Regions from separate parts of the Mus musculus genome. Here all the other regions are reported to be linked to region 4. The links are microRNA targets in miRTarBase. Many come from high-throughput screens and were not tested one by one. Region 4 holds a microRNA gene; each other region holds the end of a gene's coding sequence.

The links. The annotated mature microRNA mmu-let-7b-5p reads UGAGGUAGUAGGUUGUGUGGUU and lies in region 4 at 2,213-2,234, shown strand. An mRNA with a match to its seed (bases 2 to 7 or 8) in the 3' UTR can be bound and repressed. Matches are read on the target gene's strand: a 7mer-m8 pairs with bases 2 to 8, a 7mer-A1 pairs with bases 2 to 7 and ends in A, and an 8mer does both.
Region 1: the mRNA of Agap1 is a reported target of mmu-let-7b-5p. Seed matches in the 3' UTR shown: 7mer-m8 at 503-509.
Region 2: miRTarBase lists Rdx as a target of mmu-let-7b-5p. Seed matches in the 3' UTR shown: 8mer at 2,617-2,624.
Region 3: the mRNA of Pdgfrb is a reported target of mmu-let-7b-5p. The part of its 3' UTR that is shown has no 7-base or 8-base seed match.
Region 5: miRTarBase lists Ssh1 as a target of mmu-let-7b-5p. Seed matches in the 3' UTR shown: 7mer-m8 at 1,161-1,167 and 8mer at 2,433-2,440.
Region 6: the mRNA of Mnt is a reported target of mmu-let-7b-5p. Seed matches in the 3' UTR shown: 7mer-A1 at 1,984-1,990.
Region 7: miRTarBase lists Tspan2 as a target of mmu-let-7b-5p. Seed matches in the 3' UTR shown: 7mer-A1 at 2,891-2,897.

What each region holds. Positions count from the first base shown.
Region 1 is chr1:89,888,123-89,892,440 of GRCm38, reverse strand. It overlaps Agap1 (ArfGAP with GTPase domain, ankyrin repeat and PH domain 1), which reads right to left. Exons shown (of 18, transcript NM_178119.3): 18 at 1-3,750. The coding sequence ends at 3,547. Among named protein-coding and RNA genes, the nearest start is that of Gbx2, 41 kb to the left of the region's middle.
Region 2 is chr9:52,085,761-52,090,078 of GRCm38, reverse strand. Rdx (radixin) reads right to left here. Exons shown (of 14, transcript NM_009041.3): 14 at 1,341-3,764. The coding sequence ends at 3,600. Among named protein-coding and RNA genes, the nearest start is that of Mir6244, 28 kb to the left of the region's middle.
Region 3 is chr18:61,082,840-61,087,157 of GRCm38, reverse strand. Pdgfrb (platelet derived growth factor receptor, beta polypeptide) reads right to left here. Exons shown (of 23, transcript NM_008809.2): 23 at 2,091-3,937. The coding sequence ends at 3,775. Among named protein-coding and RNA genes, the nearest start is that of Csf1r, 21 kb to the left of the region's middle.
Region 4 is chr15:85,705,113-85,709,430 of GRCm38, forward strand. Mirlet7b (microRNA let7b) reads left to right here and starts at 2,207; the gene lies at 2,207-2,291. It overlaps Lncppara (long noncoding RNA near Ppara), which reads left to right. Exons shown (of 2, transcript NR_110483.1): 2 at 1,442-2,412. It overlaps Mirlet7c-2 (microRNA let7c-2), which reads left to right and starts at 1,491; the gene lies at 1,491-1,585. It overlaps Gm34622 (a long non-coding RNA gene), which reads right to left. Exons shown (of 3, transcript XR_384306.3): 3 at 3,759-4,318.
Region 5 is chr5:113,938,571-113,942,888 of GRCm38, reverse strand. Ssh1 (slingshot protein phosphatase 1) reads left to right here. Exons shown (of 15, transcript NM_198109.5): 15 at 1-4,318. The coding sequence ends at 650. Among named protein-coding and RNA genes, the nearest start is that of Coro1c, 32 kb to the right of the region's middle.
Region 6 is chr11:74,842,944-74,847,261 of GRCm38, forward strand. It overlaps Mnt (max binding protein), which reads left to right. Exons shown (of 6, transcript NM_010813.3): 6 at 1-2,782. The coding sequence ends at 377. Among named protein-coding and RNA genes, the nearest start is that of Mnt, 14 kb to the left of the region's middle.
Region 7 is chr3:102,768,424-102,772,741 of GRCm38, reverse strand. Tspan2 (tetraspanin 2) reads right to left here. Exons shown (of 8, transcript NM_027533.3): 8 at 432-3,865. The coding sequence ends at 3,800. Among named protein-coding and RNA genes, the nearest start is that of Tshb, 12 kb to the left of the region's middle.

The DNA of each region.
Region 1 (4,318 bases), not on the chromosome of region 4:
CCAAGAGCACAAATCAGGCTCATGGCCAGTTAAGTCTCCAGCTCACCAAGTTTAGACACAAACTCACTGTGGGTCTTGACAGAGAAAGGAGGATGTTACGGAGTGCCCCGGGGTTCACTCTCTGGCCAAGCTCCTCGGGATAGAGGCAGTGAAGCCCAAGGCCTGAGGTGTTAGGATGCTCAAAGTTAAAGGGCAGAGGGCTCTGACAGAGCATGTATGCTCCTCGAGCGAGTGCGTGCGTGCGTGCGTGCGTGCGCGCTCACCCCAGCAGCCTCGTGGTAGGAACCACAGGGAGAAGGAGGCTTGATGAGCCAACAGCGTAGGTACGAGGTTGCAGGAGAGGAGGCTCGTCTTAGGCTTGAGTGACACTTGGGGACAGTAGGAGAGCAGTGCTTAGCTCTTTGTAAAACCAGACAGAACATTAGAGTGGCTTTCTCAGAATGAGGCTGCTCTCCCTCCCGACACTGTTCACGGCCCGGGGGAGGGTATCAGAAGCTTAGCAGAGGTAGCCCCAGGTGAGCCTGGCATGTGCCTGGTTCTATCAGTGACTCCCCAGGACAAATGACAGATAAGTCACAGGCCCCTTTGCCGCTGGTCCCAGCTGGGAACCTCTCAACAAGAAGGGAGAGATTCACCTTTAACAGGAAGGCTTGGGCCTGGTGGGCGTGGGGTCTCAGCTCTAACAGTGTCTGGAGTGAGAACGCACATGTTCCGTGTTCCCCCCACTTAACCAGCTTCTTTGACTTTTCCCACTTCCTTCCTTGATTTTAGCAAGTCAACCGGGTGACTATCTCATTCTGATGTGCTCTTTAAAAAGCGCATTGCATTAGGGGAAGTGTTTGCTACTGGGACTGCCAGCCATAACCCTGTCCCTGTTTCTCCCAGCCTTGGTGTCATCATGAAAATGGGAACAGGAAGCTGTTGTTGAGGGAAGGACCTGGTGTGAAATACAAGTTCAGTTGAATCAAGTCTCTCCTTTATCTGCACAGAAAACCCTGGAGGCTCCGATACCACCCTTGTATCTATTGCCACAACTCAGGCTTATGAAAAGTGGGCTACTCTTGGACAGTTCAGCACGGCAAAAACTGGCAGGGGAGGGGGCCATGTGTTCCGAGGAAGAACTGATGGTGTCAGGGAGGGAGGGAGGGAACCAGAGCGAGCAACTGCGCATTCAGGCAGCGGAGGATGATGTGAAACAAGGAATCATTCGGGAAAATATCATATAAACACACAATAATATGTACACACTCATATACACCCCGAAGAGAGACCTCACAAAGGACTCTGCTTCCTTTCTGAAGTAGGCTCCCCTACGACAGAAGCATTCCTAGTGGGGATTAGCTACACTGAAATAATTTAAGAATCTCATTTATACTCTATCTGTGTTCTCTATAGAAGTCTATGGTAAAGGCTACGTGGAGGCGTATGCGGATCGCGGGGTCGGATGCTAACGCATTCTTCAAAAATAGGCAATGACAGCTTGTTTTCTCTATTCACATTTAAAGTAACAACACAGTGATGGAGAGCAGGAAGAGAAACCAAACGCAGGGCTTATGGACTGAGTTCAGGGGCCTCAGACCCGCGGCTTGCGCATCTGTGACATTTCTGGATCCCGGTCAGTTCCGGCTGTGCCCAGACTGGAGATCCCCACAAGACGCGCACCACATATAAAGGCTGTGTGAAGCTTCACTTTCCTTCCCATCTACTTTACATTTGTTTTTTGTTTTCTTTTTTTAAAAAGTTAAAGAGGAGGAAAAACTCTTACAAAATATAAAGTTCAATATATAAGCGTAGGGAGTGTCTCCACAGGCTGCCGGTGGTGGCTCTGCCCAGCGTCCTGTCTTCCAGTGTGATGGACTTCTCCCTGCCACACTGTCACCAGGCGGGGGGCTCTCTGGCAAGGCTGCCCCAATTTATTTTTTTAAGAACTAAATAGTGTCACGGTTTGGTGTTCCTGTCTGATCACCGTGCTGAAGGTGTCCGGTATCTGATGAGCCCTGTGACCTACGATGGCAAATCGGATGTTAGAGCCAGACGGGCCGTGCTGTGCGGAGTCTACAGACTCAGGAGCCGGCTGTGCCAGAGCCGCTAGCAGCTGCTCACAGGGTACCTTTGTGGGTCTGGTGTTTTGAGAAATCACCCCTTCTTGCCACAGCCCCTCGGTTTGACTGGGAAGATGGTCTCGGCTCTAAAACTGGGCTCTGGGATGAGGGCTCATACCCTCTTTCCCCTCCCTGCTTCCTGTCCTGACTTTAATAAGCAAATTGTGCCACCGACTTATTCTGATACGCACCTTTTAAAAAGCTGTTTATCACATTAATGGAAGTGTTCGCTGCTGGGAGTACTTCCCACGGACAATGATCTGTAACCCTCTGAGCTCAACCAGTTGCACGTTATTAGTTCCCATCCAGCTCAATTTATAAATTAACATGGGTGCCATTTGTCTGTGCAAAAATCAATGCATATTTATGAACTTCTTTTATTCAAATAGATTTTCACACATCTTATCTACGACAGAAACCTGGGTAATCCAGACCTTGTGGACTGAGGCCTGACACATCCGTTGTGGCCAAAGTACAGAAAAATCTCTTAGAAAAAAAAAAGTCTTTTATGTATTTAGTTTTGGAACATATTTGAAAGCTGTTTTCAGCCGAATTCATGATTTCGTTTAGAATTTCCAAGTGACTCTTTATTTACTTATTTATTTATTTTCCATTTTGTTTTTGCACCAAGTAAGGGGACTGAAGTCAAATAATACCCAGCAACTGATTTCCTCTCTTTGGACTGAAAAATTAAACAGATACTAAATTATGACAGTGAATTTAGAAAGGAGGGCTCCAAGGGCTGGAGAGACACGTCTAGGATAATATGATGCTGCTAGGCGCACTGCAATCATATCGTGGCAATCACCGGAGCGTGCCGTGTAACTACCTCCTCGGCTAATATGCCTTCTTCCCGGTGATGACTAATCACGTTCTATTAAACAGCGGTAATGCTGGAGGAACTCGACTATACAAGTGTAATGAAGCTGGTACTCTCCCTGGACAGATTAGCTACAACTGATTTGACACCTACCATCATAGGGGCTTCAGACCTGACAAACTGTGCTTGCTTCTGATTTATGCCGTCAAGCTCCCCCGAGAAGACGTGAAATCTAAGCCTCCTTTTGGTCGAGGTGAAATGTACTGATGTGCTTAACTGCCAGCTAGGGGACGCTGCCCCTTCTCCTTGCTACCCCTCCCCCTGCCCCGTCTCCAGGCCACTGGAACAGGGGTCCCCGTTGTCGTGTGCTATCCTCAAAGCCGGGAGGTGGTCGGTCCTCCTACGTTGCTTCCGGAGGGTGGGGAAAGAGTTCCGTCCTGTGGCCTGCAGCCTCCTCTTCTCCCCTTGAGGATGTCCAGGTCTGGAGATTTCATGTGGGGTGAGTGAGTGGCAGGTGGGTGGAAGGCTTCCACCTGGAAGAGGGAGGGAACTGAGGGACTCACGTGGTGGTTGCAACTTCTGGAGCAGGTGGGTGTGGGATCCCAGGTGTAGTGTTGGCTGAGCTCAGATGACACTGGGCGCCCTCCCGCTACTGTTGTTCCTGCTGTTGCTCTTCCTGGACAGGTTAGGGGTAGCCATGAGCACAAAGCGCTCGTCGGGGCAGCCATACTGTAGAAGCACGTCAATACACTCCTGGCTGGAGGCCTGCCGGGCATAGGCCAGTGCTGTGTTCCCGTGGGCGTCTCGGGCCATGACGTCCACTCCGTACTGTAGAGGCAACAGAGCACTCATTAGTGTCCCTAGGGATCTGAAGGCACGGCAAGGATAGCACACAATCTACATACAGACTGAGCTGGGATAGGCACCTGGCGTCCAAGGAGCCACAAACCAATGTTCACATGTTGTTTAGACCAGGCTCTGAACCTGTTGTTAGGAAAGGGACCCCCACCCCCACCCCCTGCGCATCACAAACAGGTCAAAGAGGACTTCAAGTTGGCTTTCTAATCATACATCTACGGAGAAGGACAGAAAGATGGCTTGGAGGGCAAAGGTTCTTGTCAAGACTGAAACCTGGGTTTGATCCACAGAACCTACATTGCTCAAAGACAAAATGAACTTCATGAGCGTGCATACATGCATTTACGTGTGCACGGATGTAAGCATGCATGCACGCAGATGCATTAGTTTTCAGCTGCGTTGGATCTCTGTCACCAGAGTGGAGACAGAGGGTACTAGTGGCTGATATCCCCTAAGTGTTTTTAGGTAACTGCCTGGGAACGTTACATTTTGTGTTATGGAAATAAAAATTTAAAGGTTTGGCAGAGGGACTTCTAGA
Region 2 (4,318 bases), not on the chromosome of region 4:
TAAGGCAGTGCGTAAGCATGAAGGAACAGCTCACCTCTTAAGGCGGTATGAATAAGAAGGCAAATGTCACTGCTTAAGGAAGGTTTATAAGCTTGAGTCAAGACATCTGGTTCACAGAACAGAAAGTCAAAGGGGAGACAGCACAAGGGTCACAGCCTTTTCCATCAGGAAATGGCAGCTCTTAAATTCCTCAAAGATGGGCTCATTATTAGGAGATAGTAGGTCTACTAAGGAAAAATGGAGTTAATAGTATGTCATTGGAAAGCTAAGGTTGGAAACGGTAAGCCTGCACATGACATAGCTTTTCTACTGTGCGGAAAGCACGGGGAGTGCTGGTGTTTAGCAGGATGGGCAGACAGGGCTGCAGGTAGCCTAGACTGGCCTTCAACAAGAGTGTACCCAAGGATGACCTTCAACTCTTACTCTCCTGCTGCACCCTCCTGAAGTCTGGGATCACATGTGTGTGGGCACCACACCTGGCTTTTGGGCATTTGAAGAGACCATCACTCTACCTGAAAGGTCACAACTGCCTCACTGGTCAGTTAGCAAATTAATGCAAATTTAATAACCCTTATCTGGTACTTCAAGCTTTAACATTTAAAAAATGAGATTTCCTTGGGCACATATAGGTGTGGATTTAATGTTTATCCTTTGTCTCTTAAAACATCCCAAATCTTTAAGGTGATGAAAACTGTGGGGGGGGGGATATAGAAGTTACTCTAAACTACAACAGTATGTTTATGTCTATGTATAGTAAAACTTCCTATGTTAAGTTTAAAAGTAGTAATTTAAAAAAAAAGGCTCTCTAGATTAAAAAAATAAAAATGTCTTTGCTTTTCAAGATCAGTGAAAATCACTACCTACTCCTGGAAACAGAAATAAAGTAGCAAGTGTTGGCTTTTAAAGTGTTCTAGATGAGAGCCATTACTCCTTTACTTAAAAATATCTGCTAAGTATTAGTGAGAGACCATCTAAAGGGCAATTCCACATTCATGGTACCTGCTCCAACACAGCTTTAGGAAGCCTATCTGTCTGAATAAAGGTACCCAGCACAAAGTGCAAAGAGCACCAGAGATTTTAGTAGTGAGAGGAATAAACAAGAATGAAACCCTGCCTTCCTTGGGGAAAAAGAGGCTGGACGGTGTAAAATAATGTAATGCCTGGAAATTCCAAGTTACCCTCGGACGTGAGAGTTAATTCCGAGTCACTGTGACCGCCACTGTAAAAAGGAAACAAAGAGCAAGGTTTTGAGGATCCAGGGTTCAGTTCATATGGTTCATGGCTCAGACTGTCCTTCCAAGAGCTACGTGCGAAACCACGTTAAATAACAACAGCGGACCTCCAAGGCGGGAGCTTTTGTCACTTTATTGTTAACCAACCAGTATTATCCAAGATTAGAGATGGAATTGTAATTTACTTGTACAACATAAAATTATGCTAATGGGAAATTACCAAATACTCATTAGTAGGTTTTTACATTGCTATATGAACATGTGCTCTCAACTGCTAATGATAAATGTTATAATTGATGCAATCACTATGAAAACCCATTTTGCAAATGGCTGTTCCTGTTTAGAAAAATTCATACAGCTATAAAAATGGATTAAACCCACTTTAATCCTAATCTACAAATAGACTATTAACAGCAAATATAACTGGTAGCCTTTCAACACTGTAACAACTGATGTAGCAATGATAATGTACACAATGCAAAGAGAAAAAAATAAATCAGTAAAACTCCGAGGGAAGCCAAGTCCTTTAGCAATAAGGACTATCGCTGTGATGTGTTGGAAAAGTGAGCACTTATACGTCCAGGTCTGAGTGGTAAGGCCTACCGTCTCCCTCTCATACAGAAAGCATTCCCTCGCAAATGAGTCTGAAGCACGTGCACAGCCACTGTACAACAGTCACTTCAAGGTTAACCAGTTCTCTTTTGTCCTACAGAGTCCAAAAATATATTAACCCTTTCCTTTTTATAATGTCTGCCCAAATTAATCCTTTTTAAGTCAGCAAAAATCAAAAAACAGCACAAAAAACAAGTTGAATCTACTGTGCGTGAAAATTGCTTAATGAAATGGCAATTTTAATAGATAAATGTTAAGTTTGAGTGCATAATACCAAATGGAAAGTAGCTGAACCACGCAGAGAAAACGAGGCTTTCTGCATCTTCTGTAAATTCAGGTGCTTCACGATCAGACAGTGTCAGAACATCTTTCTAGCTGGAAAGACTTCTTCAGTAAGACGTAATTGAAATAAAATTTGTTTTTAGAGATTGCAAATAAAAATAAGCAGTGATTTAGAAACCAAATATGCTACAATAACGACCCCTATCCCATCAAGAACAAAGAATGGGATGTTTCATGTACTGCAAAGGCAACGTCTTTCTCACAAAGGGTCACTCAGCGTCGGACACAGAACACCCCCCAGGGAACAGCATACCAGTGAGAATATACAATAATCTAGACACAAATCAGAGCCCCACAGTTCAACAGAAAGGCAGTTAAAACATTAGCACTGGGATCTCAAAAGCACTCAGTGAAGGCCATGATTGAGACTGCGTATGGGTGACAGACATGCAGCACAGACTGTGCGTACAGTCACCACGTACGTAAAGAGTGAGGTAGTATTTTGTTCTCAGAGTTGATGTTTCCATATGCTGCCCTTGCAGAAAGGCCAAGGTTTGGGTTTTTTTCCCCCTTCAACAATTAGAATTAGTTATCATCCACAGTTATCTTCTATTGGACATCCTAAGAACAAAACTTGAATTTTTTTCAGAGACCATGTACTTACAAGGCCACTTCATCAATAATTTTCTTAGAAGCGACTGCCTAGTGGCTAGATCTCTAAAGTAACAGGCAAGGAAAGCCACCATAGGACTACAGGATTTGAAACACCATCACTCAAGCTATCAGAGATGACTGCACTTAAGGAAAGCAAACAATACAGTAACTAAGGGATCTTTGTAATAACTAACCACTGGCTGCATACTACGCTGTCCAACATTCTAATCATCTTATGATGTAGTCCCATGTCTGTCTGTCTGTCTGTCTGCCTCACTATCTCATATTATACACCTCCAGTAAGTGATCCGTGTGACACCAGAATTACAGCTCTATCATGACAGGGCATGAGAAGGTCACACTGACAAAAAACATGAGAATGAACATGGAGATGTATGTAGCCTACAACATGGAAAGGGCAAAGAAAACTAAGTTCATTAGCTAAACATGCACTGAAATGTCCACCATTATCCTAAGATGTACACAGTGCTCAAAGCACATACACACATTTGTCAGACGTGGCCATTAGTATTAATATTCAACTGAAAAAGATGAAACAAACAAAAAGTGAAAAATGTACAAAAGGGTGGGTGACAGAATGTCATTATCCATTCCCTGGACAAAAGAAAAATGACCAAACATGACATCACACTGCCTTAATGATGAAGGACACCCTTCAGTGTCCTGCTAGTGAGCACAGTCGACTGGTATGAGTGCTTTGGCAAGGTGGGATGCGTTCCATTGCATCTGCACTGCACAGGCCTGCTTTTCTCTGGTGGTGGTTCAGCTTATGAAGGACATGGATCACAAGAACAGCTCTCACATGGCTTCAAACTCATCGATGCGCTGCTTCGTATTGCCTTGTCGAATCTGCCGAAGGGTCTTGTACTTATCACGGCCGGCCTTGACATTCTCAGCGTGAAGAACATCGTTCTGTGTCTTCTTGGTTTCATCTCTAGCTTGGGCTAATTCTGAACTCAATGCCTGCATTAAAAATATATATATATATTACTCTTCCATAAAGTTTTAAAAACTATGACAATAGGTTAAAGATGCAAAAATTCATGTTTTTTAATATACTAATCTTTCCACTGTGGAATGTTTTTCTGGCTGGTATGCAAGCATCTTTTTATTAGTTTTATTTCATGTGCATTAGTGTTTTGCCTGCGTGTGTGTGTGTGTGTGTGTGTGTGTGTGTGTGTGTGTGTGTGTGTGTGTAAGGGTATTGGATCCCTAGAACCAGAGTTACATAGACAGTTGTGAGCTGCCAGATGAGTCTGGGAATTGAATCCAGGTTCTCTGAAGAGCAGCCTTAACCCCTGAGGTGTCCGTCTCTCCAACCCACAGCATCTTTCTTTAGTAACTTTAGTAACTATGATGCTAGGAAAGGATGCCCAAGGGCTGTCTGTTCTTTAGTCATCAGCCAGGCCATTTTATATATTCTGAATTACTCTAACTTCAAGGTCAGTGCACTCATTTTAAAGGAAAGAGACTATTAAGATTTAGAAACAATGGACTTTTTCTCTAGAAATTTTAAT
Region 3 (4,318 bases), not on the chromosome of region 4:
CTATACTCCCTTCCTAAGAATACCACAAACAAGGTTATAAAAACAGCTGACCAAACAAACATGCCTGGGATAAAAACACATGTCATAATATCTTGGTGTAAACTGTGTAAAGCAAAAGGACTTTCAGTTTAAAAGTTTCGATCTATGGGGCTGGAGCGGAGGGTTAAGAGTACCAGCTGCTCCTGCAGAACCCGAGTTCCATTCCAAGCGCCCACAGGGTGACTCACAACCATCTGTGACTTCAGTCCCAGGGCATCCAACACCCTCTTCTGGCCTCTTCGGGCACTGGACTCATGTGCAAGCAAAACACCCATACACGTAGCATGAAAAGGTAAATTGTGGGGTGCAGAGCAGGCCCTGAGTATCTGAAGTCCCGAGCGGATTCGTGTTGTTGACATGAGAGCAGCCATGTTAAAGACCCAATAGCCTCAGAGCCATAAGCGTGGCAAAGCCTTCCTCTAGTGCCTGTGTGAATGTTGACAGTGTGTGCAGAAATTGTCTACCAGTCTTTTCTGGATGTTTACCACCTGAAGACAACTTCCCATGGAGGCTGCACCGACTGAAATTAGACTACCTGATCCCAGTGACTTCTGTGTGTCTGTGTGTCTGGATGTCTGTCTTTTCTTCATTCCTTTGCTACCTTAGTTAGATCTATCCTGGGAGTCTTGCAAGGATGGGTCAGTAAATAAATTTCAGAGGGGGGGGGGGGTGAGGAGGGAAGGAGGAAGGAGGGAAGGAGGGGGATTTCTGCTCTTTCACAACATTCAGTTTTGGTTCCCAGCATCCACAGAACAACTCAGGAGAGTCCATTACTCTACAGGAGGGTCTGCTGCTCTCTTCTGGCCTTTGTGGGTATTGCATGCAAATGGTATATAGCCATGCACACATACACATAAAATAAAAATAACCTTTAAAAACAAAAACATTATTTTTAGCAAGGTGTGGTGGTACACACCTTTAATCCCAGCTCTTGGGAGGCATAGGTAGGAAGACCTCTGTGAGTCCGAGGACAACTTGGTCTACAGAGCTTGTTCCATGATAACCAGAGCCACACAGAGAAACCCTGTCTCATTAAACCAAAAAGGTAATCTCAAACACAGAAATTCCTATCTGGAATCTGAGTTTTGTTCTCTGCAGGGCACAGTGAGATATTGCCTCATTCTGTGCCTTCCACATCCAGGAGAGAAGGACGTCACAGACTTGAGGTGCCCCCTAAAGTCAGGACTCCTGAAAGGCCCTCTTGTCAGTTTTCCTTGGTTTGTCTCAGCTGCCTCTGAGTGAGTCAGGACTATGCTATTACTCACACTGGGAGCCACAACCCGAAGCTCCAAACTGAGACATTCTTCACGCGCATCCAGAGAAGCCCTCCCCTCAGGTCCAATGGAGCAAGGGTGTATCCAAACAGAGGTGATAGGCCTCTGTTTGAGCCCGTGTGCAATAGGCCTGGGCTCAGCAGAGGAGCGTATAGCCAGGACCCTGAAGGAGTCAGGATGCTTACCGCATGGCGTCTTCACCATCTCTGGGATGCTGAAGCCTCCTGGACCTGCACCCCTTTGCTGCCAGACATAGTGTGGTCCCTGGTGCTCAACTCCACCACACACAGTCCTCTTGCTCCTCTCCCCTCCACCGTTTTGCCTTCCGTACTTCCTCTTGTTATCTGGTCCTCCTGGGTGTTCTGTCTGCCTTGCTTCTACCTGGTCCCAGTGACAACTCTCAAGGACCCAAGCAAGATTCAAGCTCTGGCAGGCATCTCTCCATAAGCTACCCCCCCCCCCAAGTCTGGCTGTGAGCAGCAAGAAATGGGGACGGGCAGAGGTGACTCGGCTTAGTGGCCAAAGCCAAAGCACATGGTGAGGCATGCAAGGTGGGGGTGGGGAAGGGCTTGGACCATTTCCCTCCCCTTCCAGACGCCATGGCCAGAAAAGCCTCACCTCACATTTGGAAACCCAAGCACAAGGTCTAGGTGGTCACCCAGACGCTTCCCAGGATGAGAGGAAATGAAACTCACTTTCAAGTCGGAGCTGAAGGGACCTGTCTGGGACAAACTGTTACCCCCCACCCCCAGATGCATAAACCCAACCCTGAGAAATCGGTTATTCAGTGAGAAGCACCAAGTTTAATATTAAAATCTTTCCCATTTAAAAAAAAAGTACAGATAGGAAAACTTAACAGCATATAAAATAGCACTTCCGGTGTCTAAATGTGGGTTATCTCGAGTCCTACAAGTACTTGTAAACCTAGGTGATTCTATCTTTGGTACCATTGTGAGCAGTACTCCCCAGCCTCTGCTGCTCCAAGCGGGGAGATGCCAGCTAGCCAACCAGCTAGCAGGGAGGGTCCCCAGAAAGGCTGACTTCCCCCCACTCCCTAGTCCCCAGGCACTTGCAATGTTCATTGGTTCAGGGTTAGAACTGTTTCTGTGGGGTGCTCCCTGGGGACGGGGGCAGCTGGCAGTTGAGGTGGTAATCCCGTCAGCATCTTCCTCTCATTGCCCATCTCAAGTCTCTTGTCCTGCATGGGACGTCTGTCCTCACTGTCCATCATGTCTGTCCACACGCTGCTGGTGACAGTGGCCCGAGGTAACCTGGCTTGCCTTCTCTGCCACTCTTGCTGGCTTCATGATATGAAAAAAGGGTCTCGTGGTCTCTTCTGTGTCCTCAGGACAGCTGTAAGGGGGTTTCCTAGGACACTCACTGTCACTCCAAGTCAAGGTCTGGGCAGTTGCACTTGGAGACTTGAAGAAGAGGCTCGGTTCCTGAACCCCCAGAGTGTGAAGTGTATCAGGGATCTTCCAAGAGCTCAGCTGACCCCTAGAAAGATCAGTTTAAGGACTTGACCCTGCTTCCTCGGGACAAGAGCAAACTCCCAGAACATACAAGAATTGTACTATTGACAGGGTACTCAGAGTCTATGTGTCCAACTTGCTTTTCAAAGGGGAAAGAAAACTGGTCCCCAGAGAGAACAAGGAAAGCCCCCAAGGTCTCATAGCAGGTCCAGCGCAGAGCCAGGGCTCCTAGTGGTAGGTACACACTTCAGGCAGATGCTTAGCCTATCACAGGCGTGGACAATGGCCCTGCAGACTCTGGTGGGTGGGTCAGCTGAGAGTGACCTGGGGACTATTCTAGGACTGGTGGGGCTGAAAGGAGTGGGTGCTTCCTGTGGCCAGGTGTGCCCTGAGTGCCCAGGCAGGGCTGCAGGCCAGAGCATTCTGTACTCGGCCTACCTTCACCACTAACAGCATTCATTAAGCATGGCTGGCCCCAGACCAGCTCGGGCCTGGGAAAGCTAAGACCAGGGGAGGTGGGCTCTGAATGAAAAGACCTTGTCCAAGGCTGGTTACAGTTTGGCCAGGAGCCAGACACCAGGTCCTTGCCTGATTCTTAGGAAGATCAAAGTAGAGCAATCCAGCTGAGGGGCAGCTGCTACACAGGAGGATATGAACACACCACCGTACAGTCGTGGATTTCTGCAGGAATCCGGGCTCCAGACCTGTCCTGTAGCCAAGTACAACTCTTCCTCTTACATTTGGGGAAACTGAGTCCCCTGGAGGAACCCTGGTTCAGAGTCCCATGACCTTCCCGAGGCAGAGTTCTCTTGCCTCCTAAGCTAAGCTGGGTCCCTGGACCTTGAGTGCTGCAAACCAAGGGCTTTCCTCGAGGGGACAGCTTGTGGCAGTGTAGCTGCTGGGAGGCCAGGCCAGGCCAGGCCAGGCCAAGAGGGTTGGGTTCTGGGAGGCAGAAGGGAGATTCGGGCAAAATGGAGTGATGTCAGTTCCTACAGGAAGCTGTCCTCTGCTTCAGCCAGAGGTCCTGGGCAGCCTGAATCCTGTGGCTGCTCCAGTTGTGCCTCAGGCTCTGCTTGCTGTGGCTCTTCTTGGAGCTCCAGGGGACTGTCGCAGGAGATGGTGGAGGAAGTGTTGACTTCATTCAAGGTGGAACTAGAGGAAGGGAATAAGTCAGAAAGGAACCGGGGAAACCCCAAGAAGATAACAGCATTATCTAAGAGGTTTCCGTGTGTTGTCTTTACACACTGAGAGGCCTGTACCCCAAGGGGAGCACAGCTCAGAGAGGTTATGTCATGGCTCCACCACACACAGCGGGTGAGTACAGGGAGCTAGAACTTGAGAGCGGGAAGACCAGGCTCTCAAGTTTCTGTCTCATCCCCGCTTGTCAGGAATCCATCTTTGTGCTCAGGGAGATGACAGTATCTCAGTCCTCCCCTAGGGCTGTTTTCACCTTACAGAAAAGGAAACTGAGGTTTGTGGAGGCGGAGCATCTGGTCTGAGGTCACGAGACAAAGTGACCTCGCAGTGAACTCT
Region 4 (4,318 bases):
TCGACCTTCCAGCCAGACCTGCCCACGTACTTGTATCCTGACAGCCAAGGGCAGAACCCGAAGTGTTGAGAGACCTGGGGTTGATGTCTGACCTCTTTCCTCCTTCAAAGTGCTTCTGGGGGCGGAGAGGGGGAGGGAGGTGCTGGGCTCAGATGGAGATGACCAATGTGGTCTCTAGCTATTCCACCACATCCGGGCACAGCCTAAGAACCGACGAGATTAACCATGGCCAGTCAAGCCTACAGAGAGGCTAAGCAGTGTGGGACACCCCTCAGCCTTCTCACCTGGGCCACCCATCATAGATAGGATCACCAAAGGGGCCCTTCACCACTCTCTTCCCACGCCTCTTCTGCCTTGCTGCCTCTGCAGGGACCATCCTTGAGGGTATTTGACCTGCCTGTTAGTGAAAGGGTCCAGGCTTGAGGCAGGGGATGGCACCCCAGTGGCTCAGATTTCCTTCTGGGGCTTGGAAGATTAGTGTTTCCTATCATCACAGGCCTGCCCACCACGGGCCAGGCCACACCAGCGCTCTGGGAACCTTGTTCCTAAGCTCCTCTGCCCCATAGACTCCGGATCTGGGGCCACAATGTGGACTTAGACCTAACGGCTTCATTTTGACCCAGGAGTTTTGGACTTGTCCCTTGACCCTTGGCAGAGAGGAAAGGAGGCGTGACAGTAGACGCTAGGGCTCATGCAGAGAGCAAAAGCTGCCTGGCTTCCTAGGTCTGGGCACAGGGCTTCCCTCCACATGCTGGGCAAACCGGTCTGAGGCCTGAAAGAAGCAGGTCTTTTTCCCTTCTGAGAGCAGAGCTACCTGAGACCAGAGACTGAGCCTCAGTTTCTTCAGCGATCTCTGCTGGCCTCTGGAAGTGCTAGTCGTTAGGGACAGACTGGCCATGAGTGTCCAGCCAGGGTCTGCACTTGCGCCCGGCTGGCCACCATGGGGAGTTAGGCTGCCTCCCACAAGGAAAGACTGTTTTGAGCCTCCCCCAGCAAGGTCAGCTCAGGCCACCCTGAGAAGAGGGAGGGACAGAACCAGAGCCCACGAGGGGGGGGCTCTTCCTGCCTAAGGGGAAGAGGGTACATGCCCAAGGCTACTACTTAGCAGGAGTCCTGGTGATTCTACTACGCTAGAGTTGAGTGGACAGAGGCTGGGTCTCAGCCAGGTGGACACTGGAAGCACCCTGGACCTTGGTGGCCTTTAACAAATGACACCCTTCCCCCATTGTGGCCATTCCTGTGCTCAGTGCCCCGTGCTTTCTCTCTCTTCTCCCCGTTTCCCCGTCTCCCCGTCTCCCCTTACTCTCTCTGTGATTTTGTTTAAATGTCCCTGGCCCATTTTGAGAAAATCCCAGTCTATTAATACCCTCAGCACTGAGCGGCCTGTGTCGGGGGTGGGGGGTGGGGCTCACCATGTCCCCAGCTCTCCTTCTTCCTCTAGGAGGGACCTCAAGAAGCCACAACATCCAGCTCTACGCCAAGACTGACTGACGGCCTTTGGGGTGAGGTAGTAGGTTGTATGGTTTTGGGCTCTGCCCCGCTCTGCGGTAACTATACAATCTACTGTCTTTCCTGAAGTGGCCGCAATATCTGCAGTGGATACAACGGCGGCCCTGGCTGGGGAGACTGAGGGAGGGACAGGGGGGTGATAACTACCATGCAAAAAGAGCCTGACAGAGACCTTGGATAGTCCCTTGACCTCTCTGGGCTGTTACTCATCTGTATAAGGGTTGGGGCATAGCGATGAAAACAGACAGCATTTTCAGGGCACCTTCTCTCCCTGGCCCACACTGAAGGGGCCTTCCTGCCCCTGGCCCCATATCAGACCTGTGCTCACAGGTCTCCATGAAAAGAGGGTCTGGACTAGACCTTCAACTATGTTCCAGAGTTGCCCAGGCTTTCCAGCGCAGGGTCAGGCCTCTGACGAGCAAGCGTCTCTTCCGAGAAGAAATTGAAAAGGAGCCATTCTTAGCACACCCATGAGTACAGCCTGCAGATGGACCGTGTAGGCCACTGTCCCCTGTCCCTGGGGCAATGGGTTCAGACACCAGAGGCTTCCTCAATCTGTTTGGTAGGCACAGGCCTTTCTCACTGAACCTCTGTCTCCACTTCCCCCTCCCCCACCCCGCCCTGTGCCCTATGGCTCTAGTGGCCTGTGGCCAGGGTGGGTGGGGAGCGGCTGGGCCTCCTCCAGAACACGGACACCGCAGGGTGAGGTAGTAGGTTGTGTGGTTTCAGGGCAGTGATGTTGCCCCTCCGAAGATAACTATACAACCTACTGCCTTCCCTGAGGCGCCCAGGGACACAGCTACATGGAGGCCCCCGCTCAGCAAGCTAAATGGAGCCACAGATTGGGTGGGGGCTATGACGTGGGACCTGGGTATAAATAAAGGATGTTCTGTCATGAACTTACAACTGGTCTTTGGTCATTTTGGAAATACGGAGACTGGCCGTAGAGGACATGAGATCGCCAACCACACATTGACACGTTTGCATGCATGAAACATTGCCAGCAAGAGCTGCTCTGGGTAGTGAACAGTACCCTCCCCTCATCTTCCATGTGCCCCTTAGTGGCCCAAGCCCTGGACACCCAAGCCCCTCCACATGAGTGGAACAACAGACCCTATGACTCCAAGTCTCAGAGCACAGTACTGGCTTCCAGTGTCCCTCAGCCTGTGGTCCTAACCAGATCTGAGAAATTCCTGGCCTATTGTCCCTTCGTGCCTGCCTCCCTTGGGACAGTATTGGGACGGCTGTGGATGTAGCTTTCTAATCTTGGGCCAAATGGTCATATACCCTTCTTCCAGGGACCCCAAGCCTTCATTCAGGTGGTGGTAGTGGGGTGAGGGTCAGCCCTCAGCTAGTGTTAGCTTAGGAAGGTAAAGTCCTAGTCTTACCTGACCAGACACCAAAGGCCTCCCTCGTGGGTGGATACCTTGACCCTGATGTCCTGGCCTTCTCCCCATAATGAATCCCCCGAGTCCCAGCTCCCGTCCTGAACCCAATCTGCCTCAACTCTGCATATCCACACACCTCCATTGACGCACCTAGGCAGACCAAACACCCCTAGAGCCCCTCTATATCCACCCTCAGCTACCAGACCTCTCAAACTTAGCCAGCCATTTCCAAAGATCTGATACTGTGCTAGCCCCAGGGTTGAGAGTACCCAGAGGGACTCTCTGAGTACTCTCTGAGAGCAACAGGGATGGCTTCCCAAAGTAGGGGCTATCTGAGCTGGGTCTTGATGGCTGTATAGGAGTTGGCAGCTAGAGACACAGGAGTGGACACTCAGACACTCCGTGGCATGCCCCATTGTCTCCTCCCTGCTGTCCTTTGGAACATCGATGGTGGATGATAAATTGTCACCTTTTTACCTCTCTTTATCCTGTAGTCAGTGGTGAAGTCTGTTGACTCTTGCTATGCCTCCAGCCCTAGAGGAGTAGTCCTTCCTCCCCTCCCTTGTGCAGAGCTTTGCCCACTCTTCATCCCTTGCTGAATTAGTTAAGGTTTTACTGCTGTGAGCAGATGCCATGACCAAGGCAACTCCTATAAGGACAACATTTAATTGGGGCTGGCTTACAGGTTCAGAGGCTCAGTCCATTATCATCATGGCAGAAGAATACCATGACATAGGAAGAGCTGAGAGTTCTACATCTTGTTCCGAAGGCAAACAGGAGAAGACTGGCTTCCAGGGAGCTAGAGTGAGGGTCTTAAAACCCATATCCACAATGACATACTTCCCCTAACAAGGCCACACCTCCTAATAGTGCCACTCCCTGGACCAAGCATATACAAACCATCACACAGCCTACCTTCCATACTCTTCTGCACAGCCCAGCCCCCAACCCTTCACCCTCACACAGGCCCACCCTCTGGCTACCACAGCCAGCTGTGTCTGTGCAAGCAGAATGACATGCTGGCCAGTCACACCCACCTCCTGGCTCCTATGCTGCAGTGGGAGATGGCCTCTGCTCTGCAGAGTTCAAGTACTAGGGACACAGGACAGGACACACGGCGACCACCCAGTGGGGTAGCGTGGGAGCATCCGAGAGCTCTGAGGTGCTCTGCAGTCAGGGTAGCTTCCTGGAAGATGACCTCTGACATGTCCTGTGCCCCTCTCTACATTCTGTTGGCTCTTCTCTGACAACTGACTGTCACTAGAGATAGGGGTGCATGTGGGGATCAGGGTGGGTACGACACAGCATTCAGCAGAGTGGAAGTTCTGGGGTGCAGGGGAGTGGTTCAGCCCAGGGAGACCCTGTGCTCACTTCCCCACTTCCACAACCTACAAAGGAAGCAAAACACTTCCACTTAGAGG
Region 5 (4,318 bases), not on the chromosome of region 4:
AGCACACCAAAGAGCTGGAGAGGTTGAAGAGCCTGCCTTCAGACTCACCAGCTGCCTGCAGGGACAGCGCCACCTGCAGGCTGGAGGCCAGCATCCCGGAGGAGGGTAGCCAGGAGCCCGCACACCCAGCCCTGTGCAGCCAAGCTGGGTCGGAAGAACAGCCTGTAGGGGGAACCTTGCAGAAGAGCCCCACGTCTACCCTCCCCCGTTTAGATCACACCAGTAACTTCTCGAAGGACTTCCTGAAGACCGTGTGTTACACCCCCACCTCCTCCTCCATCAGCTCCAACCTGACCCGGAGCTCCAGCAGCGACAGCATCCACAGCGTCCGAGGGAAGCCTGGGCTGGTGAAGCAGCGGGCGCAGGAGATCGAGACGCGGCTGCGCCTGGCAGGCCTCACCGTGTCGTCCCCGCTGAAAAGGTCCCATTCCCTTGCCAAGCTGGGAAGTCTCAACTTCTCCACGGAGGACCTGTCCAGCGAGGCTGACACATCCACCATCGCTGACTCGCAGGACGCCAAGTGTGGTCTCTCCTCTTCCTTCTTGCCCGAACCCCAGTCTGCGCCAAGGGACCCCGCTGCAACCTCTAAATCATCAGGGAAATCTGCCCCAGAACACTTGAAAAGCCCGTCGAGGGTAAACAAAAGCTGACTAGCTTTCAGCTCTGTAAGGTTTTCATCATGTCCTGATCTACTCTCATGTCTTGATTTGTGTTAATGACTTCAGTCTTCTGGGCTTTCCCCACTTAGATCCCGTGAGGGGGGACACCCGGGTGTAGGACCTGGGCAACCTGGAAACTGTCAGCCAAGAGTCACATTCAGATATGTACACGCAAGCCAGGGCTACGGCTTGGTTGTTAAGAGTGTGTGCCTGACATGCACCAGGCTCTCAGTTTTGATGCCCAGAAACCGTAAAACCAGGCACGGTTGCGCACGCGTACGGAAATTCCAACACTGGAGGTGCAAGCAGAAGGATTAGAAGTCATCTTCAGCTACATGGTGAGTTTTAGGCCAGCCTGGTGGAGAGAAAAAGAAAATGTGTGCGGACATACAAAATACAGTTTGCAACATGTCAAGGAACCACATTGGCGAGGTCACTGCAGCCCACGATCCCGGCTCATTCCCGTCCTCGAGGGAGAATCCTCAGAGGGCAACACAAGGCCTACCTCTCTGCTCACTGTGCATTTTTGTTTATAAAACGGTAATGACCAAGGCTCGTTCTGAGAACAATGCTATGTCCAGAAGGGATTTTCCAAGAGAATTGTGGGGGGTTTTGGGTTTGGAGTTTTTTTTGTTGTTTTTTTTTTTTGTTTTGTTTTGTTTTTTTGAGGGTGGGGACCCGCAGAAATGTCAAGACTTTGAACCTGATTGTCCCAAGAACAGCTAGGTGATATCATCAGAGGAAAGCACTTAGGGAGAGTGGCCCCGTCTAATCCTCCATCCTGGTGGGGTTGGGTCCTCAGCTGTTGGCTTCCCTTCAAGCTTATGTCACCCAGTCACTGAGAAGGCACTGCGAGCCTCATCTGCTGCTAACGGAGGTTGTGGGCCTGGGGTGTGGATCATCCTGCTGTGACCACACGGTAACCCTCCAGGATGGCTCAGTAGGAACCATCTCCACACTTGCTGAGAGGAAAGGCAGCGTCAGCAACGGATACTTTCTTACAAGTCCCTCCCCAGAGCCAGTCTGAGAGGAGAGAGTCTATTGAAAAGCTGCTCTGATGTTTACCAGAGTCCCTTCCCGTGGAGAGAATAGAATATTGCTTCCTTGTCTCCTCCGGCTCCCCCTTGCTGTAATGATGGGACAAAGGAGGCTTGGCCACAGCACAGGTGTGAGCACAGATTAGCTCAATGAAGCAGGAGGCCTGGGCTCTGGGTTCATATCATGGGCCTCGACTGGTGCCCATCATGAAAAGGGTGCTTAAGGATTTTTTAAATTTTTTTTTTCCTTAAGGATTTTGAAGAGAGACAAGCAGAGAGGCAGACCAGCAGAAAGCCTTGACTTGGTATTTAGCCAACGATGGTGCACAGCCCTGTGAGGTCACATATCCATTTGGGCTCTGTTAATGTGTTTAGGTTTTGGTTTTTTGAGACAGGGTCTCACCATGTACCTCCGCTGTCTTGGAACTTTCTCTGCAGACCAGGTAGGCCTCGGACTCAGCAGCGATGCATCTGCCTCTGTCTCTCAAGGGTTTGGTTTGGGTATTTTGGTTTTTGAAGTAGACTCTCACCCTGTAGTTCAAGCTGGCTTCAAACTCACAGCAGTCCTCCTGCCTCAGCCTTCCAAATGCTGAGATTACAGGTATAATCCCATCATGCCTCAGACTTGGTTGTTTACATTTTGAAGGGTAAATGGCGCAGGCTTGTGATCTACACTCAGGAGGGTGAGGCAGGTCCACCATGAGTTAAAGGCCAGTCTGGGCCACAAAGTGAGATTCTACCTCAGAAGTAGTAACCTTGCCAGAGATGGTGTTACCTGCTTCAGATGTCTGCTGCGAGCCCTCTCAGAAAGCTTGCTGATGCCCCAAGGCTGCTTGTAACACTGCAGGAAGACGGGGTTTCTATTTGAAGGCTGCCTTTGCTCCTTGGATATCACAGACCAACTCCTTCCCTCCCACACTCCAAACTTGCCAGCCTACCCCTTTACCTCTTGAGCAGATGGAGTCCTTGTGGAGATGACCACAGCTCCTTCCTGCAGTTGGCTGGCTCAGCCAGACAGCTCAGTGAGACCACAAAGTCTTCAAGGATATGTTCCGGAAGTATGCGTATGGGGGTCCTCCCACACTGGTTAGAACCAACGGAGTCCGGATGGTTTGGAGGTTGCAGCCAGGTCCCTTGGCACAGCCTGGGATTCGGGCAAGAAGGAAGAAGAGAGACCGCCATCCTGGTGAACGCTCTGGGTGTCTCCAGGATCTGGGCCAGTTCTCTCTTCATTCGTCTGGGGTCTTTGTGACCTCTGTCTCAGAACATTTCTCCCTGGCATGATTTTTTTTTTTTAAATACATGTATGTTATTTTATAGGGATTTATTTTCCCACTACTGTCAATACCAGTCACCTTAAAAAGCGATCATCCACTTATTCCTGAAACCCTGTGGGTTTCTTCCACTCTTCCCTCAGCCAACAAAAGCAAAAAAAAAAAAAAAAAAAAAAAAAAAAGGCCAAGTTTAATGACATCGCCAAGTTCAATTTCACATGGTGGGTCAATTTCTGTGTCAAAATAATTCCTTAGATTTGGTAATGATAGGCTTCCACTGTGTTTCTTAATCCCATCTGCAAGAGCGATAGGATTTTTGAAAACTTTCATTTTGAAAGAGTCAGGACAGGAGGATGAACTCAGGCAGGCCTCTCGCTCCCAGCAGACTACCTTACACCTGTTTGAGAAGCACTGGCCAATCAGCCAACGGTGCGAACAGCAGGGGGGCGGATCCCCATCTTCAGACCGGAATCCCTGGCGGGATCCTGTTCATTCCTTGGCTCTCTCTGTAAACACAGTGAATTGGCATTTAATGGAAAGGCTACTTTGGAACTCTCCCTGCTAAGCTAAGACGGTGGCAACTCCCATATTGTCTCAGGAAAAGTTTTGTTCCAGCTAGGCTTGGTGGCACACTCTCGTGATGCCACGCAGTGGATCACTGAGTCCAGAGCTTTGTAGACGCTGACCACCACCCCTCCCCCGCCCCGCCAAAAATAAAAAAGTTAGCTTTGGGAGCTGCTCCACACCTGGCTATTTTAGCTTTGTGTGTAATCATAGCAAGCAGAGGTAGAGGGATTTATGCAGCGTTGATGACTGCCATTTTCACTGAATGCCCTTGTTGAACTAAGAGCTTTCTGCTCAGCTGGATGGCCCGGGAACTTTACATAGCCCCCCCCCCCCCCAAAGTCTGAACCATGTGGGGGCCTTGCTCTACACCAACACAGAAGGCTTCCTGAAGTGTAAGGGAGAAGATACTGGGCAGAGGTGGGAGCCTGATCGAATGAACAAAGAGCCAGGTGTCTTTCTCAGATCCTCACCCCCATGTTTTCAGTGCAGAAGCCCTACCAACCACACACAGCTCATCCATGCGGCTCAGCCATGCTGGTCTCTCCGAGGTACCCAGATAGCTGCACCCCTCTGCTCCCCTTGCTCAGCAGCTTGCTCTAGCTGAAGATCAGGCCCAGCATCCTCTGCCCTTGAAGAGCCCAGAGGGTTCTACAGGATGGAATTAAGTTCTGAAAGATTAGGTGTTGACAGCCAGCCTGTATTTTTGTGCACCCATCTCAGGGACCACCCCGGAAAGCTTGTGAATCTCCCACTCTTCAGGAGCCATTTCTCCTTAGCAAGA
Region 6 (4,318 bases), not on the chromosome of region 4:
GCAAGCATATCGCCCACATCGCCCCCTCCGCCCCCAGCCCTGCTGTGCAGCTGGCACCCGCCACACCCCCCATCGGCCACATCACAGTGCACCCTGCCACCCTCAACCATGTGGCCCACCTTGGCTCCCAGTTGCCCTTGTACCCACAGCCTGTGGCCGTGAGCCAGCCAGTGGCCGTGAGCCACATCGCCCACACCCTGTCGCACCAGCAAGTAAATGGCACAGCCGGGCTGGGGCCCCCAGCCACTGTCATGGCAAAGCCAGCTGTGGGGGCCCAGGTGGTGCACCACCCCCAGCTGGTGGGCCAAACAGTGCTCAACCCTGTGACTATGGTCACCATGCCCTCCTTTCCGGTCAGCACACTCAAGCTGGCTTGAGAATGAGGCCACTTAGGCCCCCAGTGGGGGCAGGGAAGGGGACCTGACTGCCCCTAATCCCACCCACCAGCTCCACACATTCCAGCCAGGCCCAGGCCCGCCCCACCCACACCACCCCCAGGCCTCCTTAGGGGAAGGGGGTGCAGAGACTCTGAGCCAGGGGAAGGGAGGGGCCCCCAGGGAGTTGGCTGCAGGCAGGAAGTCCTGCTGCAGGAGGACTTGGCAGACAGGAGGATGCTTTTGGTGGACATTCTTGCCTACCCAGCCTGGTGCCAGTTCTGGTGCCGCTCCATCTCCCTGTTTTGTCCCCTGGAAGTCTGCACTGTGGCTTACGTTCTCTGCCTTCCCCTTCCCTGGCCTGCCTTCCTGTGCTGTTGCTGCTATTGCTCTGTCTGGGGAGGTGGCTGAGCTCTCCGGCTTCCCCTCCCCAGCCTCAGAGTCCTGTGGGACCTCTGGATAGGAAACAGGGAGCCCCAGAAAGATGGGAGATGGGTGGGGAGGGGCCCACCTCTGAGTGCAGGTGACAGATCCTAAGATCTGGAGTCAGGTTAGGACAAGTGAAGGCCTGGGCCTGGGCCACTCTGACCCACCTGTGGTCACTGTGATTGGCTACAGTAGAAACTGTTCAGAATGAGTCCCAACCAACAATAAACGAGGTCCTGGCTGTTGTCAAGGTTCCCGAGCCTGCCCCTGGGGTGGGGCTTCCCTAGTGCTTCCCCCGGCCCTGGTTTAGGTACTGCCTGCAGCTTGGGAGGTGTGGACCAGCAAGGGCTCTAGGAGCTAAGGTACACTGTGGAGGTATCCCGGGGCTCTTCCCATTCTCCCTCCCTCTCGGTGCCAGTGTTGAGACCCCTCCCTTCCTGGTGGGGCTGCAGTGTCTATGGTGGAAAGGGCCTTTGCTGGGGAAGACAAGGCACAGCATGTGTTTGATGGAGAGCGGGGGTGCTGTGCTTCGGGGGTGCTGTGTCTCCTGCCTCTGCTTCTGCAGACCGCTTTGGCTTCTCTTTTTAAGTGGATATTTATTACAAGTGGCCTTGTGTCAGACACTCAGTTACTCGCGTGCGCATTCAGGCCCTCACTGGACACTCACCAATGGCCTTTCCGTGTGGGGCAGGAAGCAAGTGCCCCTAAGGTGCGAAGTTTGCACTGGGGGCTTAGGCAGTCCAGGGGCCAGAGGGGAGGACTCAGGGTCCTTCAGATGACATTGTGAGCAGACACTGAGGCCAGCGAAGGTCCTGAATACATTCTCCCTTGAAATAATGACTCCTCAGGTGCCTCAGAGCTCACAGGTCCTCCTGGCCCTGGAAACCTCCCAGGGCACTTTATTATTATTATTTGTCTCCTGGGGTAGGGAATGGTAGCTAGGACCAGGTCTCAACCCCAGCACAGGAATCCCAACAAACTGGCTGCCTTCCTGTGGCTGCTGCCAGCCACCTCTACCCACATTCTGACTCTGGGGGCCACCTCCACTCTCTGCTCTGTGTTGTGACAAGGGGCAGAGTCTGGTGCTGGCTGGGTCAGACCACTTGTCCCATTAACCCTTCTCTGTGTCTCGAGGCCAGTTGCAGAGTTGACAGCATCGTGTTGGCCCCCAGGCCTGCACAGATACCTCATCATCCACCCAGCCCTCCCCCCATCCCCCCGGCAGGGGTTCCTCCAGATCTAGTGCCGAATGACTATGTCCAGATTGGTGGTGATGGGTGTTGTCGCTGTTTTTGTTGTTTGTGACTGCTGTGTGCCCAAGTGGGCAGCCACCTCCCAGCCCTTTCTTGGGCATCTCCCCTTTGAGAGCTGTTAGGACCACATCTGTCCTCACGCTGTGGGACCGCCTGGCCCTTCCCTTCCTATCCCTTCCAGCCTGGGACACACACACACATACACACACCTTACCTCTCATGCGTGTTTTACCTGTGCTGTTTGGAGTGGCTCACTGCCTGGGATCTTTACCTCGGGGAGGAAAAGGGGAGAGTGGTTCCCTTGGGGCCAAAGAAGGGCAGGGGATACCTGGAGGGGAGTTGGGTCACCACAGTCTCTCTCTAGGAACAGCTGCTTCTCCCCCCACCCCAATCCCAGGGTCCCACTCCCAATCCCCAAAGAGGTGGCCCTTGTTTACAGTGAGGACTTGGTCACTGTGTCTCTGTTTCCTGAAATATGAATTGTAGCGACCCCAGACTGTAGAGATTTTTATGTGTTTGGGTACATCTGCTGTGTGGGAAAAAAAAAAAACTACAAAAACCCTAATTTTGTACATATTGTATTTTTACTATTGAACTGTACTCTAGTGGCTGTTCATGCTCTGAGTTTAGGTATTGAGACATGAATACTATCCATGTAATAAGCACTTGCCTGGAATAAAATATAAAACTGAAATAAATCTGCACTGAAACCTGAGACGGAGCTCCCAAGCCTGCAGCATCTGGGTCATTTCATTTCAAGAGGCAGGGACCCACAGGGAAGCAGCAAGAGGTGGCACCCTGAAGGCTGCTGAAGGGTGAGGTTGGGTGATGGCCTGAGTAATTAAAACCCTGGTAATAGGGTTCCAGAGCTGGCTCAGCAGCCAGACCATGTGGTGCTCTTATACCATGAACCCAGGTTGGGTCTCCAGCACCCACATCAAGTAGCTAACTGCTCGAGGCTCCAGTTGCAGGGCTCTTGACTCCCTCTTGTGGTTCCCATGAGCATTTGCATGCATGTGATGCAGGCACATGTAAATAAGAAAATTAACAGCCTGTTAAGGCCCGGGAAGATGGCTCAGCACTGGCTGCTCTTTTGGAGGACCTGAGTTTGATCACCAGCTCCCAAATAGTGGCTCACACTGTTAACTCCAATTCCAGGATATCCTATACCCGTCTCTGAATTCTACAGGGATCAGAACGTGAGGTACAAATATGTATTCGTGCAAACCCCATTCCCCACACCTTAACAAAACAGAGATCAGGCAATGGTGGTGTATGTCTTTAGTCCCAGCACTCAGGAAGCAGAGACAGGTGACTCTCTGAATTTGAGTCCAGCCTGGTTTACAGAATGAGTTCCAAGATAGGCAGAGAGCTACAGTGGAAAAACTGTCTGAGCAGGGAGGCCGGGGGCAGGTCAGTGGGAAGCAGTCTGGGTATGGTATGGTGTACACCTCTAGTCCCAGAAAGAGGCATACACACAGAGGCAAGTGGATCTCTGAGTTTGAAGCCAGCCTGGTCTAAAAGATGAGTTTGATCCAGTCAGGGCTACATAGACCCTGTCTTAGAAAACGAAACAAAAACATCAGGGATAGCCTGCCTTTACCCTGGGTCAATGAAGGATCTGGCCTCACAACTGTGACCCAACACAAGGCTGTATAGGTCCTCATCGTTTCAAAACATGATCTTATTTCATTAAACAGCCAGTGAAGGGGGCTGGAGAGATGGCTCAGTGGTTAAGAGCACTGACTGCACTTCCAGAGGTCCTGAGTTCAAATCCCAGCAACCACATGGTGGCTCACAACCATCTGTAATGAGATCTGATGACCTCTTCTGGTGTGTCTGAAGACAGCTACAGTGCACTTAGATATAATAATAAATCTTTTTTTTTTTTTTTTTGGTTTTTCGAGACAAGGTTTCTCTATGTAGCCCTGGCTGTCCTGAAACTTACTTTGTAGACCAGGCTGGCCTCCAACTCAGAAATCCGCCTGCCTCTGCCTCCCGAGTGCTGGTGTTAAAGGCGTGCGCCACCACGCCCGGCTATAAATCTTAAAAAAAAAAAAAAAAAAAAAAAAAAAAAAGCCGGTTAAATAAGGCAAGAGGTAGTCCTTTTGAGCAAATCAGAAATGGCCAATGACTTGCTAAAGTCATACCGTTGCACCTTGTTGGTTAAGACTACAAAACTAGCCGGTGTGGTGGTGCACGCCTTTAACACCAGCACTCGGGAGGCAGAGGCAGGCGGATTTCTGAGTTGGAGGCCAGCCTGGT
Region 7 (4,318 bases), not on the chromosome of region 4:
CTACTCTTTCCAGTTTGAGTGGGCCCACTCTTGGCTAATGATTAGCATTTGCTTATAGCAATAGAGGCCTGCTTTCCCAAACTCCACTTGTCAGGTCAATATTATCCTAAGGGCTCATCAAATCACTAAGACAGTAGCCTCAAACAGTAAAAAATTAAACAAACAAATACAATCTCTGACACTATGTAGAATACATATTATGAAGAGCAGGCACAGAGAAAAATATACTGATGTCAGTTGTGAGTACTATATAGCTTTTGAATAAGACAGAATCGGGGAATGTATTGAAGGTTATTAATGAGTTCAACAAATGTTTTTAAAGCTAATTGGGATCATGTGGAACAATCTTCAGTTTTGCATGATTTTTGGAAAATGATTTATCCCAGAGACCTCTTTGTCAGAGTATCAACATAATTATAACAGCTAATATTCAGTAGTTCCTCTGTATTGTAAGTACTTATATATTGGTTATTGACTTATTTAATAATTAACATGCAATTTAAATTTCTTTAACTAATTTTTTTTTGTTGTTTAATAGGAGTAAAAGAAATCACAAAATATACAGGATAAACACCACAAAACACACAAAAAGGTTCCTGTTGTATTAACTCCACATTTCTGCAGCCAAGCTCTGGGAAGCACAGGGCATGTTACTTGTACTTGCTGTGTCTTCCCTGTTTCCAGGGGGCAGCGTCTGAACTGTGAATCCCTTGCTTGTTATAAGGACACCAAACAATAACATTTTGTATTGCTGTAGTATTTTCACTTTTAAAAGACATCTATATACAAAATACCTTTTATAGTAAAAAAAAAGGGGGGGGAGGATATTTAAAGAAAGTAGGAAATCTTTAGTCTTTAAAATCCACACAAAAACCAACTTGATTCAGATGAGCTTACGCTGGTTCTACCCTCAAGAGACATAAATTGCTCTTTCCTGGGTGTGGGGAAACGGGCTTGGTGTTCAAGAGCATGCCAGTGGGGCCTTGAAAGCTGGGCTGTGGGGAGTACTAGTGGCTTGCCTCTGGGCCATAGAAACCACCTTCACCTATGACAAGAGAGCAAATACCCTTTGAATATTCAGAAAACTTATTTCAGAAGGGAGAACATGCTATCTTCTTTATTGATTATTATTGAGATTATTATCATCTTTCTCTGGGTCTCATTCTCACCCAGCTACATCGGTTAGATTCCTCAGAGGGAAACGATGGCTGTTGGTACAGGAGAACCACACTGGACCCAGGATTAACTCGAAAGGCTAAGCCATAGGTAACCAAGTTTTTCTGGAGGAAGGAGAAACAATTTGGGTGAACTGGTGTTAGCTGAAACGCAACTATATGTAATTAGAACCCTAGGGGTGTTGCTTTTGAACCCACTGCACAACAACAGCATGAAAGGATTACCAGTTTGTTTTTACTATACTGTTTGGGTAAATTGGTAGGTAACACATTTAAATAAGAAAATGTGAACTTGTTAAGAAGATACACTAAGATTTTAAGATAACTCAAGCAGTGTAAGTACATAGAAAATTTAATTTAAAATAACTTAAAATGTTTGGGTCTGATCTCAAATTAGTTCAGGTAAACAGAAATAACTGTAAATGTATATACATGTACATGTGTATGTATACAAACATTTATCTCCATAGTTTCAAACGGGTACACATGTATTAAATTACATATCTCTTTAGCCTTAAGAGATATGTATTTAAGATATGTATAAGTTCAGGACATAGGGGTTATATATCTCTATAGATATAGCTTTATCCATTCACATAAAGATATATATCCATCTTTACTCAAAGATGGAATTCTCTAATTTTACCCAGCACATTCTTTGGAAAGCTTCACCCTCAGAGAGGTAATCACACAGGACATGGGTTTCTAGACTTATTCTTCTGCATTAAAAAATTATTTTACTCTTCTGTCTATAGTTACTGTGGTTTTCCTTAAACTTATTCACTCACCCAGGGAATGAAACTCACTTCTGAGGAACGGGAAATAACTCTGAGCTGGAGGAACCTGAGTACACACTTGAGCCTGTTCTCTGTCTTCAGGAAGACAGATAAACTAAAGCTATAAGAAGGACTGATCACTCTTTGTTTGCTTAAAAAGCTGGCATTTGTCAACCACTGGGGTATAAACATCACAGAGTGATTTTTTTTAAATACTTTTGCATACATAGGTAAAGTAGTCATACACAGTTATACTTTTAACTCCCTCAGTTTTTTTCTCCAAAGCTAGTAGCAGTAGCAAGAATATCTGAAAAAGAGAGAGGTGGCGCTCTGTGGGTGAGACATCCCAGGAGTTGTGTGTCCTCAGCAAAACACTTGGTAAAAGTTTCCTGAAGCATGGCACTTTGTTCTAGCACATACCAAAGTCTTAGGTTCTTAGCGGACATAGAAGCTAGCCTGACGGTTTCCAGAATTCCTCATGCCTTCACTTTTATGTGGTCAATATAATCCTAAGACTCCTTTATACGCTGTTCCATTATGACAAATACATCAATTTCGACCCTGCTGTGGGGTTTCCCACTTGCTGCCAAAAGGCCGAGCAGTGCCTGGGTTTCCCCACTTAAAATCAATCACTCAGGCTCCCAAAGAACCTGAGCATCTATTCATCCCCACAGGGGTTCGCTGAGAAAGAATATAGTTGTGCTGCAGCTGTATGCACGAAAGTACTTTTGATCCATTAACTTGCCTTTGTTGTGTGCATACATATTGAAGAAGGTGTTTATATTGGTTTAGACAGGGTACTCATAACATAATATCTGAGTTATGGGGCGATTTATTTATTTTAAAGAATAAAACTATGTTCTTAATCTATAAAGAATTCTCTGCACAGATAAATAAGAAAAATGGAAAAATATTAGGAAAGTATGTAAACTCAAGTCATGAGGTATTCCAGAGGTACAGACAGTGCCAGCCAGAGTCCCCCACTGTCACGCTGCACAGTGCCTGCTTTCCTCTGTCACCACATCTGAAAAAAACAGTAAGGAGGGTGAAGGAAAGGCCTTGTGGGAAGGCGAGGCCTTCACTAGTTCAAAGCAGAGTTGGCAGAGAAGAGGGAGAAAACAACGTTTGCATGTCATCCTATAGCAGTGTTTCTCCCCCTTCAAAGTTGTTAGTTTTAGTCTTTAAAGCACTCACTTTTCTGGGGCACATGCTTGTCTGTCTGCGTGACTTCTCTTTCCAGAGAGAGGCTTTCTGTTTTTAAATGCTAAGAAAACATGACTTTTTTGAATTAGATTTTTCCATGCTATATTTACTTTTACAGATGTGTTTAGTTCTAAAACTGTGGTTTACTGGATTCTGGGGAGAATATATGTATATATATATATATATTTCAAGAAATCTTTACACTCAACTCAGACACAGTCAATCTATGGCCCTTCAATTCTTCTATCTTATTGCTTCCATTAACTAGAAATCCTGCATTCTCTTTATGTATCTAATTTTCATGGCTAAAATCTGAGAAATGGACCCATTATTACATTTCCTGAATAGCCGAGTTTTAAAAATCTCTCATTGCTTTTTTTCTGGTACTTAAATAGGTTATTCTTGCATACAAGAACTAGGGTTTCCCAGGAAACAGATATCAGTATGTGCAATGCATATACCAGAAACAGACATTCACTCAAGGGGCAAATCAGTAATGAGTCAGACTTACATACATGTGCAAATATACAGTTGACAGAAAATTATTTTAGCTTCTAATATCCTGAATATTAAAAACGAGCCGAGAGAGCTCTTGTGATAATTAGCACGACAACTCTAGATTGCAATTTTCCTGATGAAGTATCATCAGATCACATCGCGTGAGTTCCGTATTGCACAGCAAAGCACCATGCTGAATATCATGCCAAAGATCTGCAACAGAAAGAACCGCTCATTAGCAACTTTCACATGTGGATTCGATAAAAATCAGCACACTGTGGCACTGCTTAGTTCAAGTTACTGACCAACAACACTGGCTGTAAATGACATTTTCATATGTTTCTTAAGGATGGCAACTAAGCAAGACGTCTGTGTCCGCTTTGCCGAGCTCCTATGTTACCTTCCTAACAGACACGTCTGTCTGTCTGTCTGTTTCTGGCTTATGGTTCTTAACAGTTATGAAAGACTGATATGTTTCTGGTTTTTGAATTTTACATTTAAGATGAATCTCAGATCTATTTTACTCACTCAGAAAATAGTTCTTAATTTCTTACGTAAAAGTGCTTATGGTCTAAGTGTCAGAAAAGCTTTCATTCCTATAGCCATGGAGCCCTGTCAAACAGTTTCCCTTCATTCTTGGTCCATTCCTACACAAATGATATGTGG